Rattus norvegicus: one gene and its partners. The protein of the gene in region 1 binds, or shares a complex with, the protein of each later gene. Links are inferred from orthologs where the notes say so. Each region holds a gene or a part of one and is shown on either strand. Other genes may lie near its edges. The genes, in order: Cdhr2, Ush1c and Cdhr5.

What was found.
Region 2: Cdhr2 (region 1) and Ush1c share a complex: the UniProt entries of both Homo sapiens proteins name them as parts of the IMAC/intermicrovillar adhesion complex. The link is inferred for Rattus norvegicus from reciprocal best matches to the Homo sapiens genes CDHR2 and USH1C.
Region 3: Cdhr2 (region 1) and Cdhr5 share a complex: the UniProt entries of both Homo sapiens proteins name them as parts of the IMAC/intermicrovillar adhesion complex. The link is inferred for Rattus norvegicus from reciprocal best matches to the Homo sapiens genes CDHR2 and CDHR5.

The regions. Positions count from the first base shown.
Region 1 is NC_086035.1:9,914,812-9,918,979, forward strand, and holds the start of Cdhr2 (cadherin-related family member 2 precursor), read right to left. Parts: upstream 2,888-4,168; 5' UTR 2,792-2,887; intron 1-2,791. UniProt on the Homo sapiens protein: Intermicrovillar adhesion molecule that forms, via its extracellular domain, calcium-dependent heterophilic complexes with CDHR5 on adjacent microvilli. Thereby, controls the packing of microvilli at the apical membrane of epithelial cells.
Region 2 is NC_086019.1:105,877,261-105,881,656, reverse strand, and holds the start of Ush1c (harmonin), read left to right. Parts: upstream 1-1,574; 5' UTR 1,575-1,692; coding exon 1,693-1,728; intron 1,729-4,396. UniProt on the Homo sapiens protein: Anchoring/scaffolding protein that is a part of the functional network formed by USH1C, USH1G, CDH23 and MYO7A that mediates mechanotransduction in cochlear hair cells. Required for normal development and maintenance of cochlear hair cell bundles.
Region 3 is NC_086019.1:205,808,200-205,812,563, forward strand, and holds the start of Cdhr5 (cadherin-related family member 5 precursor), read right to left. Parts: upstream 2,894-4,364; 5' UTR 2,855-2,893; coding exon 2,761-2,854; intron 2,681-2,760; coding exon 2,505-2,680; intron 2,150-2,504; coding exon 2,099-2,149; intron 1-2,098. Other genes in the region: Sct (secretin precursor), read right to left, coding at 4,320-4,364. UniProt on the Homo sapiens protein: Intermicrovillar adhesion molecule that forms, via its extracellular domain, calcium-dependent heterophilic complexes with CDHR2 on adjacent microvilli. Thereby, controls the packing of microvilli at the apical membrane of epithelial cells.

The DNA of each region.
Region 1 (4,168 bases):
AACCAAACTGGGACCTTTGTTCCCCATGGCCCCTTGCAGGCTCCACTCAAGCCCCCTTCTCTGTTTCCTCCTACTTTCCCTCCTGTCCTCATGGTGTAACTCAGGTGATAGTGCCCCACACCTGAAAGCTCACGCGCCATCCCTGTTGAGTCACTCCTGGAGAGATGGCTTAGATACTCTGTTTTGCCTATGGGGATTCTCAAGTCTCCAGGAAGCTAGGTTTCCTGTCCAGCAGTCACAGAGTCATGTCTGACTCACTCCTAGAACTCCTTTGGATTCTCCTTCCTATACTGGATGAGTTGACCCTAAGTTTCTCAGCCTTGTCCCCTTTGTCACAGTGACTTTTCACAAGCATACTCACTAACAATAATAAGGCCAAAGTTCTGCACTTGACAGCAGCATCTCCCAGACTCCATCACTTAAGAAAAATGTGTTGTGAGATTGGAAGCACCTGGTGACCTGCCTCACCTCGATGGCACAGGCACTCCCAAGACCTGACCTGTGCAAAGGCTCAGACCAGCTGTTGGACACACTTCCCACCTTTGGCAAGCCAAATCCTTAGGGGACCTGGGTCTCACCTTCCAAGAGTGGTTCCCTTTCCCTCTTGCCGTATCCTGTCCACAGTCCGCACCCACACACACACACACACACACACACACACACACACACACACACTGCATCATCTTTCCCCTTGATTTGCATGTGTCTCTTCTGCGCCAAAGGCCCTCTTGTGTCCCTTGCCCTTGTGCAAATTCTCTCTGTCCTTCAAGGCTCAGGTCACAGCTAGAGTCTCTGAGCTCCAGTCAGGGGTCATATGCTACAGGACATACAGGAGAAGAGAGGGGATGTGCCCAGGTACTGGAGCTGGGGAAACTTCCCCCAGGTGCCCTTTCCTCCTCGGAGGGACCAAAAGTCAAACGTAGGCTCACGTGAGACACCACTGATGCCAGCCCCCGTCCACTTTGCGCCTGATATAGTTTGTATCTTTAAGAGATCGGAAGCTGGGCCTGGAGTGCCACCAGTATCCTATTACTCAGGAGAGAGGAGGCTCTCTAGTTCTAGACTAGCCTCAGCTGTATGGAGAGACCTGTAAAAGGAGAGAGAAGCAGGGAGGGAGGAAGAAGAAGATGGGGAAGATGAAGAAGAGGAGAGGAAGAAAGAACAGATCTAGACCCTAGAAATCCAAGGTGCTTGCTCCCAAGCTCCTGCCGCCTTATTTGAGGCTGGGCAGGAGGCTCTCTACTGAAGCAGGCTAGCTGTGCCGGGCAAGCCATGGAATGAGGAGATGTTCTGGTGTGTTCCATCAGTGTGTTCAATTATTTAGTGTCCCCTAAAAGCAAAAATACTCAGCTACTCATGCTATAACGTGTCTGAGGAAAAGTCGGGAACACCAGGGGCTCCAGATCACTCGATGGACCCCCAGGCTCCCAGACCCAGGCCATCCACAGCAAGGGGGCTCCTCCCTCTTATCTCAGAGGACACGCTGGCCGCAGCTCACAAGACTCCAGGAAACCAAAGGCTCTACAGTTCAGTCCACTGGATGTGAGGATCCCAGACCTCTTGGAAGGCCACAGAGGAAGGGAGCCCTCCTCCACTAATGACCCAGCTACAGGCTTCCTCACCCCACAGCCACCCCGCCCTGCCGCAGCCTCAGAAGTTCCCTGAGCCCTTCCTTTCACTTCTGCTTTCTTTTACTCCTTCGCACAGCTGATCTCTGGGAGCAGCTATCCTACCGTTACTGTTCATCAACCTTTTCGGACGGCCAACCACAAAGGGTTAAACACCAGCAGCGGGCAAGGCTGGACCCAGGTACCACTCTGCTGACCCTACAGGGGTCTCTTCTGATCCCACCAGCCCAGCCAAGTGATGCAGCTGCAAAGATAGGGACCCAGGGACCTTTAAGTGTCCATGCCCCAGGTATACTAGGCTTCTTATAGCCAGAGATGGTGCCCGCCCTCTTGGCTGCTTCTTCTGAGGGGACAGATATGGATCAGGCCCCAGGTTTGGATTTCAGCATTTCACATACAAGCCTGCCCTACCCTCAGCTACAGTTTTCCTCTGAGGAGTAAGGTGAGGGCAGGCTACGTCCTGTGCCGATCAGGAGATCGGCATTATGCTCTGAAATGCTGCCTGGGAGCAACCAGCAAGTAAGTCCTGTCTAAAGACGAGCTGGCCCAGCTGAGTCTTTACCCTGTGACCAGGATGAGGATTAAGTTAGGGTTGGGACCAGCATAGTTAGTCCTCCCTGAGGTGACCTAGCATTTGATCTCTGAGTCTGTGAGGGACAGCCTCCAACCCCTGCCATGTCTACTTCACAAGCCCTCCCCAGGTTACTAGTATCATGCCACCCCACCGATGCAGAGACCAAGGACCAAAAGCAGTCAGCAGCTCACTCAGAGTCTGCAAGGAGCTGAATGAAGATCTGAGCCAGGCGGAGTGGAGCCAGCCTTTCCCCCTCGGGCCCATGGCCAGATTCAGCCATCTTCCTCATCTTCCCCTTTCAGATAACAGATGAGGTTGTCGATTAGTTTCCTAGGGGAACCCTTCTCCTCAGGCTAGAAATACCCCAGGGACAGCAGGAGGTGGTCACTGCCTGGAGAGGAAGGAGGTCTTAGCCCTGCATTCCAGAAGAAACAGGCTTCACTGGTGGCCTCACCAACTCAAGCCTGGCTCTGCCCATCCCAGTGGCTAATGACACAGCTAGCTCTTCCCCCTGGTGTCCCCGCCACGCTCCAGATGCCAAGTCGGAAAGACCTCAAAGTTTGCCTCAATCCCAAGGACCCCGGCTTACCCCTGGGCTAAGAGCCCCCGAAGCAGCTGAGCTGGACAACCCCTGGAAGGGGCCCAGAGGTGGTGATGTGCACCCAGTCACAGGTGAGCACTGTCTGGGCCCGGCAGAACACAGCTGCAGACTTTGGCACCATCTCCACCTCCCCGGAGCAATCATTAACCATACAGAGACCACACCTCCTCAGAAGGCACTGGCTGCAGCTAGGGCGGGCAAGGCCCTAGGGCTGAGGTACTAGAGGAGTAGGCAGTCCCACTGCCAGAGAAGGGGCAGATGTCCAGCCCAGGGTTCTGCTGCAAACTGGAGATGGTGACAGTCAGGGGACATGTCAGGGCCATCTCTCCTCTCCTGGTTCATCTTCTGGAGAGGGGACCTGTGGAGAAAGTGGGGTGGGGAGATCTGTTGGGGTGAGGAGACTTGACAGTTATCAAGCACTGAGCCTTCAAGCCAAGGCCTGAGGCTGGTGTGAAAGGGCACCCTGAAGCCTTTTCAGCCCCATATCTGTCCCCTCCAAGCAGGACATCAAAGGTCAGGGTCAATGCAGGGCATAGTGGCACATGCCCTTAATCCCAGCCCTCAGAAGACTGAGGCAAGTGGATCCCTATGAGTTCCAGGACCAGCTGGTCTATAGAACAAGTTTTAGACCAGACACAGCGAGATGTTATCTCTCAGAAACAAAGGTGAGCTGGGGAAGTGGCGCCTTCGATCCCGGGATTTGGGAAGCAGATGCCCATAGATCTCAGAGTTTGAGGCCAGCGAGTTCCAGGGCAACCAGAGTTATGCAGAGAAACAAACCAAAAATAAAAACCAACAAAATCAAAATCAAAATCAAAGGGCAGGTTCACACACTGCCCCAGGGTCTCCTCACACTCATAAGGGCAGGGTCACACACTCCCAGTGGTTGCCTCCCATGGGGGAACAATTCCCAAGTTCATTTCATCCAACCGCATAGCACAGCCGTGTGCCTCTTCCTACCTGAGTGGCCTGAGGAAGCTGCTGCTCCCTCTTGATACTGAGGCATCCCTTTGAGGTTTTGGTGTGCTGACACAAGTTCTCAGGGAGCACCAAATCCACCAAAAGAACTCATGGTTCTTCAAGGTCCTGGCGAAGACTGGCCTCAAGTCGCTGGGGGAGGGGCTAGAATCCGTATTTATTGAGCACCTAGTGTAGGCATAAATTTTTCTCAACCTGCTTTAATAAGGGTTCAACCTCCCCTCGAGCCCGCCACCCTCCAGGGGTAGTAGAAAAGAAAGGTTATTAGGATACTAGGGAAGTGGACCTGTTTAGAGACAGTTCTTTGGGAATCTTCTAATCTCCTTAGTTCAATCCACAAGCAAACACCAAACACGAATCAACACCAGCAGCCCAGTCTTCTCAGCA
Region 2 (4,396 bases), on another chromosome or scaffold:
CACAGACACTGTACACGAATATATGCGAGCCAAAGTTCACACACAAAAATAAAAATGAAAACAAACTTCAAAAGGGAAGGAAAGAGAGAATCAAAGATGTAAATGGAAAGAGAACCGTATCTCATGAGGTCTTTTCTGGACCACTAAATGCCCCATACACCTTTCTGTCTGGTTTCTGACTTACTCAGTTAATAATAAAGAATCCTAGTTACCATTAACTGTCGACTTGACACGACCTGGAGTCGGCTGAGAGGAAACCTAGGCCTGTGGGGATTATCTCGAGTACTAATTTATTCAGAAGGCAGTGAAGGACAGAGGCTGGGCTATAGCCGGCTCCCAACTTATGGAAAGCCCATGGCAGACGCACCATCCCTCGACAGGTGGCCCCAGCTTCACAACCGAGCTAGCCAAGCTTGAGTCTGGGAGCAAGAGAGCCAGAGACTGAGCCAGCAAGAAGCATTCTGCTATAGTCTCTGCTTCCCCTTCCTGCCTTTGCTTCTGTCAGCAGTGGAGTGGGACCGGAAGCATGAGATGGGGTAAAGCTGTCTTCCCCAAGTCGCTTTCGAGCACAGCATTATCCACAGCACCAGAGTGAAGCCAGATCAGAAGGTGAGAATCTAGATCATGCTTTCAAGTTATTCCCCCAGGCATATATCCTAGTCTTCATCTGGGCCATAATCCAGCCAACTGTGAAAATTGGCTGCTTGCTGGCAAATGGCAGAGGGATCTAGAAAAGAGACACTTCTCGTGTCCCTGAAGTTACCACTGTGCCTACCTGATTGGGACCACTGTTGATCTCCTTGCCCATCCCGTGAGGTGGTAATAACACGCCAAGCACCTATTGGGTTAAATTCAGGCACCAGGTCCACGGCCCCCACCGCACCTCTGAGAATGTGCGTGCTGGATTAATTTCTGTTGAGAAGGAACGTGAGTCAGTGGATGGGGGCATTCCCCAACTGGCAAGCCCCCACAGGACACAGTAGGACCCAGCCCCCTTACCCTCAGGAGTTTTTGCACTGAGAAGGCAAGTGGGAGAAGCCTGGATGAAACCTGGGAGAAGTCGAGACGGGTGGAGGTGGGGGCTGGGGTGGGAGTGTGATGATGGAGGGGTGTGATGGAGGGGTGGGTCCAAAAAGGGGGATGGTTTCTGCATGACAGTCCATCTACATCAAGAATCTCTGACCCCCTACCCCAGTGCCACAGCAAAAAGTTCCAAACCTCGGTGGGCCAGGTATGTAATCCCAACACTTGGGAGGTAGAGGTGTAGAATCAGGAGTTCAGAGCCATCCTCCTCTGTGAAATATTCACTTCAAGTCCTGCCTGGGCCACATGAGATGCTCTTCCAGAAAGGAAGAGGAGTCGCAAACTACCCCTCACCCCTGCTGCCCTGCGTCTCCTCGATCTTTTGCCTTAGTGTGTAGGGGGACCACGCTGGAAAAAGCTGCCAGCCTAACTAAGGCACCATTGCCACACAACAAGCTTCTTTTCATCCTGGGGAACTTCAGGACAGGTGACCCCGCCTCCAGGCTGTCTTTTCTCCTCCCAGCCCCGCCTCTGCTCCGCCCAGGCCCCACCTCTAACTCTGAAGGAGGCAAGTCCTGTCTTGGTGGCTGACCTGCCGCCGCCTGAGCACCGCAGCCAGGCACCCTAAGAAGCAGACCGAGCTGCAAAGCAACTGGATCAGGCTCAGTCATGGACCGGAAGGTGGCCCGAGAATTCCGACACAAGGTCAGAGCTGAGAGGTACCCCGCGCTATGAGAACTGTGGAGTCCTTGGTCCGGGTGGGTGGGAGATGGACAAGAGCCCTCTCCCTTGTCTGAAGGTCTTGGTCAGACTGAGACTTCTGAAAGTGTCCCTGCAAAACGAGACGGGAACACTAGAAAGTCCAGGTCTAAGGTTTACTGAACTGACCCTCTCCAGAAAATGCCATTTCTCCTTGGCCCTTCAGGGGCTGGGAACTGGACGGAAAGCCCAACAGTGCTGAGGGGCAGTTTTGAACCAGTACAGATTATCTTCATGTGGAAGGACCAAGGAAGGGCCAGGATGTGAAACGCCTGGCTTTGGTCTGACAGACCACTCAGGTAGAATCTTACTTCCTTGTGTCCCAGTGAGGGATCACATTGGATCTTCAAAGTCCTCTAAAATCTTGACTGGCATCAGAAATTTCCTAATGCTTTTTCCAGATTACAGGGTCTGTGGAGGCCACAGAAGGCCACTGAAGGACAAGGGACCCAGTGGTGGCCTCCAGGGGTAAAGCCAGTGTCAACAGTTCCTCACAGGCCCTGCCCAAGGAAGAGAGCTGTATGTACACCCTGACACTAGAGACCAAGCAGAACCCCTTCCCAGTCTGAGGGGACAGAGTGCCTAAAACACAGTCTAGCTGTCCCCTCTCCTCCCTTCCACATAGAGCCTCAGAGATACACAGAAGTCAGTCACTGTGGAGGCACAGAGGTTACAGGCCAAGAACTTCCACCCAACACGAGGGATCAGCCCGTCATTCCCTTAAATCATATTCTGAGTGCTTACCTACTTTGTGTCAGACCCAATCTGTACCCTCACATAATCTACCCGTGTGCACAGGAGACAGGCCTTGGGCTCAGAGCACAGGGATCAGGGCTTAGTAGGGGCCGCAGGGGTGGAAGCTTCCTAAACACAAGGCCAGGATGTTCCTGTTCCCACTCCCAGCATTGAGAAGTGGCAGAAAGTCCAGCAGGAACGGGCAGCTGCTGAATGTCAAGGGGATCATTTGTGGGCCCAGGGCAGTGTGAGGGGGGACAGCTCAGCTGCAGTTAACATTCGCTGAGTGTCAATTTCAGCCAACCCACTTTAAAGGCTCCTGTCTCCTGTTGGAGCTTAAATTTCTCTTTCCTGGCCTTGGGCTGGGAGTCATGTAAAGTCGGTTCCTCTTTCAATTTCTTGCAGTGGAGTTATCTACACTTTACCTCTTGGGAGAGAATCACCCCCAGGCTCCCTGATGTCTGACTTGACTCTACATTCACCCCAATTCTTCCTCTCCCAGTTCCAGAGGACCTCAGGGCCTCTGCATTTCCGTGTTCAGGCGGGCTCCTCCTCAGAGTCATTACCTATTAATGTTCCCGTGTCACAGGCAGGGCAGGCATCCTAGTAAGCAAGGCCTGGGCTGGACTTTGTGCCCTGCAGTCTCAGACATGGCAACAGCCTTCCTCTCTCATGCGGGGGATCACGAAGGAGCTGAGAGGAAAGATGAGGGTGAGAGGCAGGCAGGCTGAGTAAAATTTACAACCTTATTGCTTGTTCTAAAGACCCCTTCCTGAGTGTTTCGGGGGAAATTCACTCCTAAGCGGAAGTTCACAATCTGAATCTTGAGTTGTTAGAGGTAGTGTTTAAGGTAATGTGTTGTCATGGCTGATACTGGGTGACCTGTCTGTGACTCAGGTCTCAAATTTGTGAATTGGGCATACCGTTTAACTAATAACATTTTAATAAGGTTTGTGTGTTCGTGTGCGCATGTGTGCGTGTGTGCATGTGTGTGTGTGTCTTATGTAAATTGTGCTCTTGGAGAATCCCCACACTGAGGGTCAGTTCTCACCCTTGCCACTCACTGACCTTGAGCAGGCCACCGGATCTCTGAGCTTTTGTTTCCTTCCTTGTGAGGGGGCTGTGCGGTGCCTGTGTGAGACAGGATTAGGTAGGAATTCAAGTGTGGGGGTGCTCCGATGCCCAGCCCAAGTCTGCGTGTGTTACTGTAAAGGTGCGCTCCAGTTCTTGGTAGGTTCTGGTCCAAAAGCAGTCAGTGGCACTTCCAGCACAAACTTCCCTCTTCAGTTGGAGGGAACAGCCTTGAGTTGGAAAGGACCAGGCCAGGATGATCAGGGACTAAGGCGCTGGCGCTGAGCTCTCCCTGGCGCTGAGTGGAGCATCAGCCTTTCAAAGCACCCTCTTTGCTCCCAGCAGAAACCTGGTTATTCATTTGCTCAGAAACCATTTATTGTCTCTGCAGCAATCACACATTTATGAGCAGCTCTGGTGTACCCTGCCCCAGGCCAGTCAAGCAGGGAGGGGTGGGGCGAAGGAGAGCAGAAGAGCCCCTCCCTTCTAGGATTTGCTATCCATTCATTCATTCATTCATTCATTCATTCATTCACTAATGCATGTGTGTAATAAACACTCTCCGGCTTCCTAATCTATGTCAGGCACAGCTTTGGCACCGAGGAGCAGACCAAAGCCTTGCCGATCATCAGGACCATACCCTGGTGGGGAAGACAGTTACCAAGGAAACTAACAGTATCTTATAATGGAGTACTGTGCTGAATGCTGGGAGAAAAGTACCCGGAGTGGGGGGGGGGCGGGGGATAGAGACCAACAGGTGTTATGTTAGGTAGCCAGGAAGACCTCTCTAAAGAGGTGACATTTGAAC
Region 3 (4,364 bases), on another chromosome or scaffold:
CCCTGGCTGAGGAGAATGCTCTGATGCCCCCCATCATTCATTCCTTCCTCTTCTTATCTGTTCATTCATTCATTCATCCATTCAGTTAGTCAGTCATTCTTTGTCTTTCATTCCACAGACACTGGTGGCATCAACAATGTGATGGCCTAGGAGCTCCTGTTCTAGGAGGAATGCACTCAAACTGTAAAGACAAGTTTTAGAGTGTGGCCACGTGCATGTGGTGGGTGCGCTGAAGAGAGAGAATGACAATCCTGGGGGCACAACCAGCAAAATATCAAAGGGAGAAAAACAGCATCTCACGACTTCAAAAACAGGTCTCCAAAAGGATAGTGGGAAAAGGGCCTTCAGGTCGAAAGCAAACAGCTCATTCCCATGACAGCCCTTCCTGAGACCCAGGGAGACATGAACACAGCCAGGTGCTGGAGGACAGAGACGGAAAGCTGCTCTTCTCAGCTGTGACAGATGTCAAGGCCAGGGCTCTCTCTGTGCCTCTCTGTCTCTCTGTGTCTCTGTCTCTTTCTCTGTCTCTCTGTCTCTCTCTGTCTGTGTCTTTCTGTTTCTGTCTCTGTCTCTCTCTGTCTCTTGTGTGTCTGTGTGTCTGTGTGGGAAGTATATTTGTGTGTTGAAGGTGGAGCACAGGGCTTCAATCATACTAGGCAGGTATTTGTCCTGGCTGGTTTTGTGTGTCAACCTCACACAAGCTGGAGTTATCACAGAGAAAGGAGCCTCAGTTGAGGAAACGCCTCCATGAGATCCAGCTGTAAGGCATTTTCTCAACTAGTGATCAAGAGGGGAGGGCCCAGCCCATTGTGGATGGTGTTGTCCCTGGGATAGTGGTCCTGGGTTCTATAAGAAAGCAACCCAATGGGGCTGGAGGGATGGCTCAGTGGTTAAGAGCGCTGACTGCTCTTCCAGAGATCCTGAGTTCAATTCCCAGCAACCACATGGTGGCTCACAACCATCTGTAATGGGATCTGATGCCCTCTCTCTTCTGGTGTGTCTGAAGACAGCTACAGTGTACTCATACATAATAAATAAATAAATCTTAAGAAAAAAAAGAAAGCCAGTAACTAATATCCCTCCATGGCCTCTGCATCAGCTCCTTCTTCCTGACCTACTTGAGTTCCTGTCCTGACTTCCTTTGGTGATGAACAGCAATGTGGAAGTGTAAGCTGAATAACCCTTTCCTCACCAACTTGCTTCTTGGTCATAATATTGGTGCAGGAATAGAAACCCTGATTAAGACAGAAGTCTAACACTAAACTTTACCCAAAAAAGAATTTCGTTTTGTTTTTAATTATTATGATCTATTAGAGACATAGGCCAAGATGTGTGTGGGTAACATGTCGTGGTGCCCGGCAGGAGTGCAGGGTGTGAGAGTTGCTCACAGTGAAGCAGGAAGTGTGTGGGGCCTGTTACTTCTTCTAGTGTCCTTTAGTAAAAGGCTATTGATGGAGGATAAGATGTATGGGATAGGGTAGGGGACAGTATAAAGTAGGAGGGTTAGGCATCAAAATGAATTTGCACACCAGGTCAGTGTCTGCATACCACAGCCTTGCCCACCCACTTGTGCATTTGACTTTGACTTCCAGTAAGAAAATGTGGAAGTTTCTGTGAGGCTGCATGGGGTTGTGGCTATGAGCTTTCGGGATTCCCTGTGTAGAGAGGGAATAGAGGAGGGCCAAGGACAAGAACAGCAAGTGGATGTGCAAGAAGGGTCAGAAAGGAGAGCCACTGGCCAGGGCCCCATGGGACGGACTAGAGGTAGGAAGAGTAAATCCGACTCTAACTGAGGTACAGTCAACCGTGCCAACAGTGTTCCTTGGATGGGGTGACATCAGAAGTGGCTGGCAGGTGAAGGTGTCTCCCAGGTGAGGGGTGAGGGGCCTACTTAGGGTCTCAAGGTACTGACTTAATACTGGGCTCTACGTTAGCTGAGTTTGAGTCTGGAGCTCAGGGCAGAATCTAGGCTAAAAGAATCATGGAAGTGGCTAGGAGAGAGTTGATGTTCAGACTCCCTGGGGGTAAGGTCTTGGAGGAGTGGTCTTGGGGTACTCTGACAAAAGGCCCAGGTGGTCAGGTAATGGGGTTAACTTACCAAAGTATCTCCTCTCTTACACTCCAGGACTGCCTCCAGCAAAGAGTTTTCCTGAGGATAAAGCCAGGGGCCCTATGAGTCACTTGCCACATAGGGAACTATCCTCCTATAGGATAGGAGAGTACAGCTAGGAGAGCAGGGAGCGCTCCAGCGCCCCAGTCATCTGTGGGAAATCCTGGGTATAGGGGACATTTGGCAACTTTGTCCCCTTATGGCCCTACCCCTCAGTACCAACCAACCAACCAACCAACCATCTAACCAACCACTGGGCCTGAAAGGGCTCCTCACTGCCAGGAGCATATAGATCCCTTCAGTCCCTCTTTCCCTGAATCTTTCCCAGGTTAGGGGAGTGGATGCCCATTTGTGTCCCCATGAAGGCATATTCTATTCGGTCTACAGTCTGTACCTCATAATCTGGAGTCACGATGAGAAACAGCTTATTGCCCTCAACCTTAAAGGCATTAGGGGTGGACAACTGTCCCAAGGTCACATACTGGTCTTCTGGGACAAAAATGTCCGCCAGTGGCCCAGAAACAGTGGTGTTCTCGTTCATTGTAAACACGGTCTGGTTCGCAGAGCAGACTAGAAAGTTGCAAAGGAGAAGTTGGTTCCTCCCAGCCCAGCTCTGCCACCCACCCATCCTGCCCATGTTCAGTACCTACCCTGAGCCTGGGCCAAGGTCCCTGGAAGGTGGCCAAACAGCACCGTGAGCAATGGCAACAGCAGGGGAGGCCACAGGAGGGCCGGAGCCCCCATGGTGGCAGCTGTCACCTGGAAGAAGGGTCCGGCCGGCTTGGTTCCAGGGCTGGTACAATTCCTGCTCCAGGGCTGGTACAATTCCTGCCTTGGCGACCTTCGCCCCTGCCAGGCACCGCCTCATTTTATGATCCTTTACAGATGGCCTCTACCAAGGGGGATCCCGCTGGCCGGCCGGCACTAACAGGGGACATGAGGTCATATTGCAGCTTGGACTTCCAGGAAGTTAGCTGAGGACTCAACTTACAGGCACCACACATAAGGTGTAAAAAATCTTGAGAACCAGGAGTGGAGAATAGGCGTGGGAAGCCAGGGCAAGGCTCTGGAGCCATAGACCTAAGGAGGCTGAGTCAGGGTTGGGGGCTGAAGCAGGACTCGGGGATGGAGCCATAGGTCTGGGGAGCTGGGGCAGGGCTGGGGAACTGGGAGCAAGAACAGGGATGCGGGCTGAGCCATTGGTCTTGGGTCCACTGTGACCCTCATCTCCTCTCTTTCTCTTCAATGTTTATTTTAGAAAATCACTGGAGCTCTGTTATGTTACCTGCCTTCCCTCTTCCACTCCCAAAGGACAAGGCTGTGTCCCAGTCAGCTGCTCCTGCTGTCTGAGAAACACAGCAGTGCCCCCAGGGTAGGGCCTGGCAGAGCCTTGGTGGGTGGTAAGATGCAAATAGAACCTTTCAACCACTGGAGGAGCTGGGGTTTGGGGAGCCAGTATCTGATGGAAGACAAGAATCCCAGAGGACACAACCCAGCCCTCCATTAGACCTGCTTCCTCCTCTCTTGCTTCCTCTCCTCTGCCCTACAAGCTCTCAGAGATGAGAGGAAGCCCCTAAGTGGGGCCAGGAGAATGGTAGGGGGTGTTCTGTTGAAAGGGCCTACATAGCCCTCCCTCATTACTCTGGGTCTTTTGCTTTAGATGTCTGAAAACCTTCCCAAAGCTCCAGGCCTCTCTCTGTCAGAACTGGGCACTGTCTCACCACAGCCGCCCACTGAGAGATGACATCACCGGCCAGGCCTCATGGCTGGGCCATGACCACATAGGATGAACTCAGGTCCTCCCACTCCTGCCTGAGCCTCCTCCTCACCACTTCATTTACCCTGACCACATGGCTAGGCCAGGGTGGGGATCCTTGATCCCTGGAGATTTTGCTAAATGAACCACAGGGCAGGGTTGGACTCTAGGGAATTCAGCTAGGAAAAGAGGGGTTCAGCTGATGTCAGAGATAAAAAATGCCCTAGCTGGCTTTCCAGGTTCAAAGGGCAACAACTGGGTGTGGTCCTAGTCACTGAATGAGATGGATGGATCCGTCCAAGCCTGCCAGGTTCACGGAGCAGAGACTGCCTTGATTTTATCAGATATCACACACCATGAGCTAAAAGACCAGGGTCTAAATTCCTTCTTTATTGATGCCAAGGACAACCAATCCCTACTCCAGTCAGGCTCCTGGAGACTCCCCTTCCTCCCTCATCTGGGCTGCCTGGTTGTTTCAGTCCACTCTGAATGGTCGAC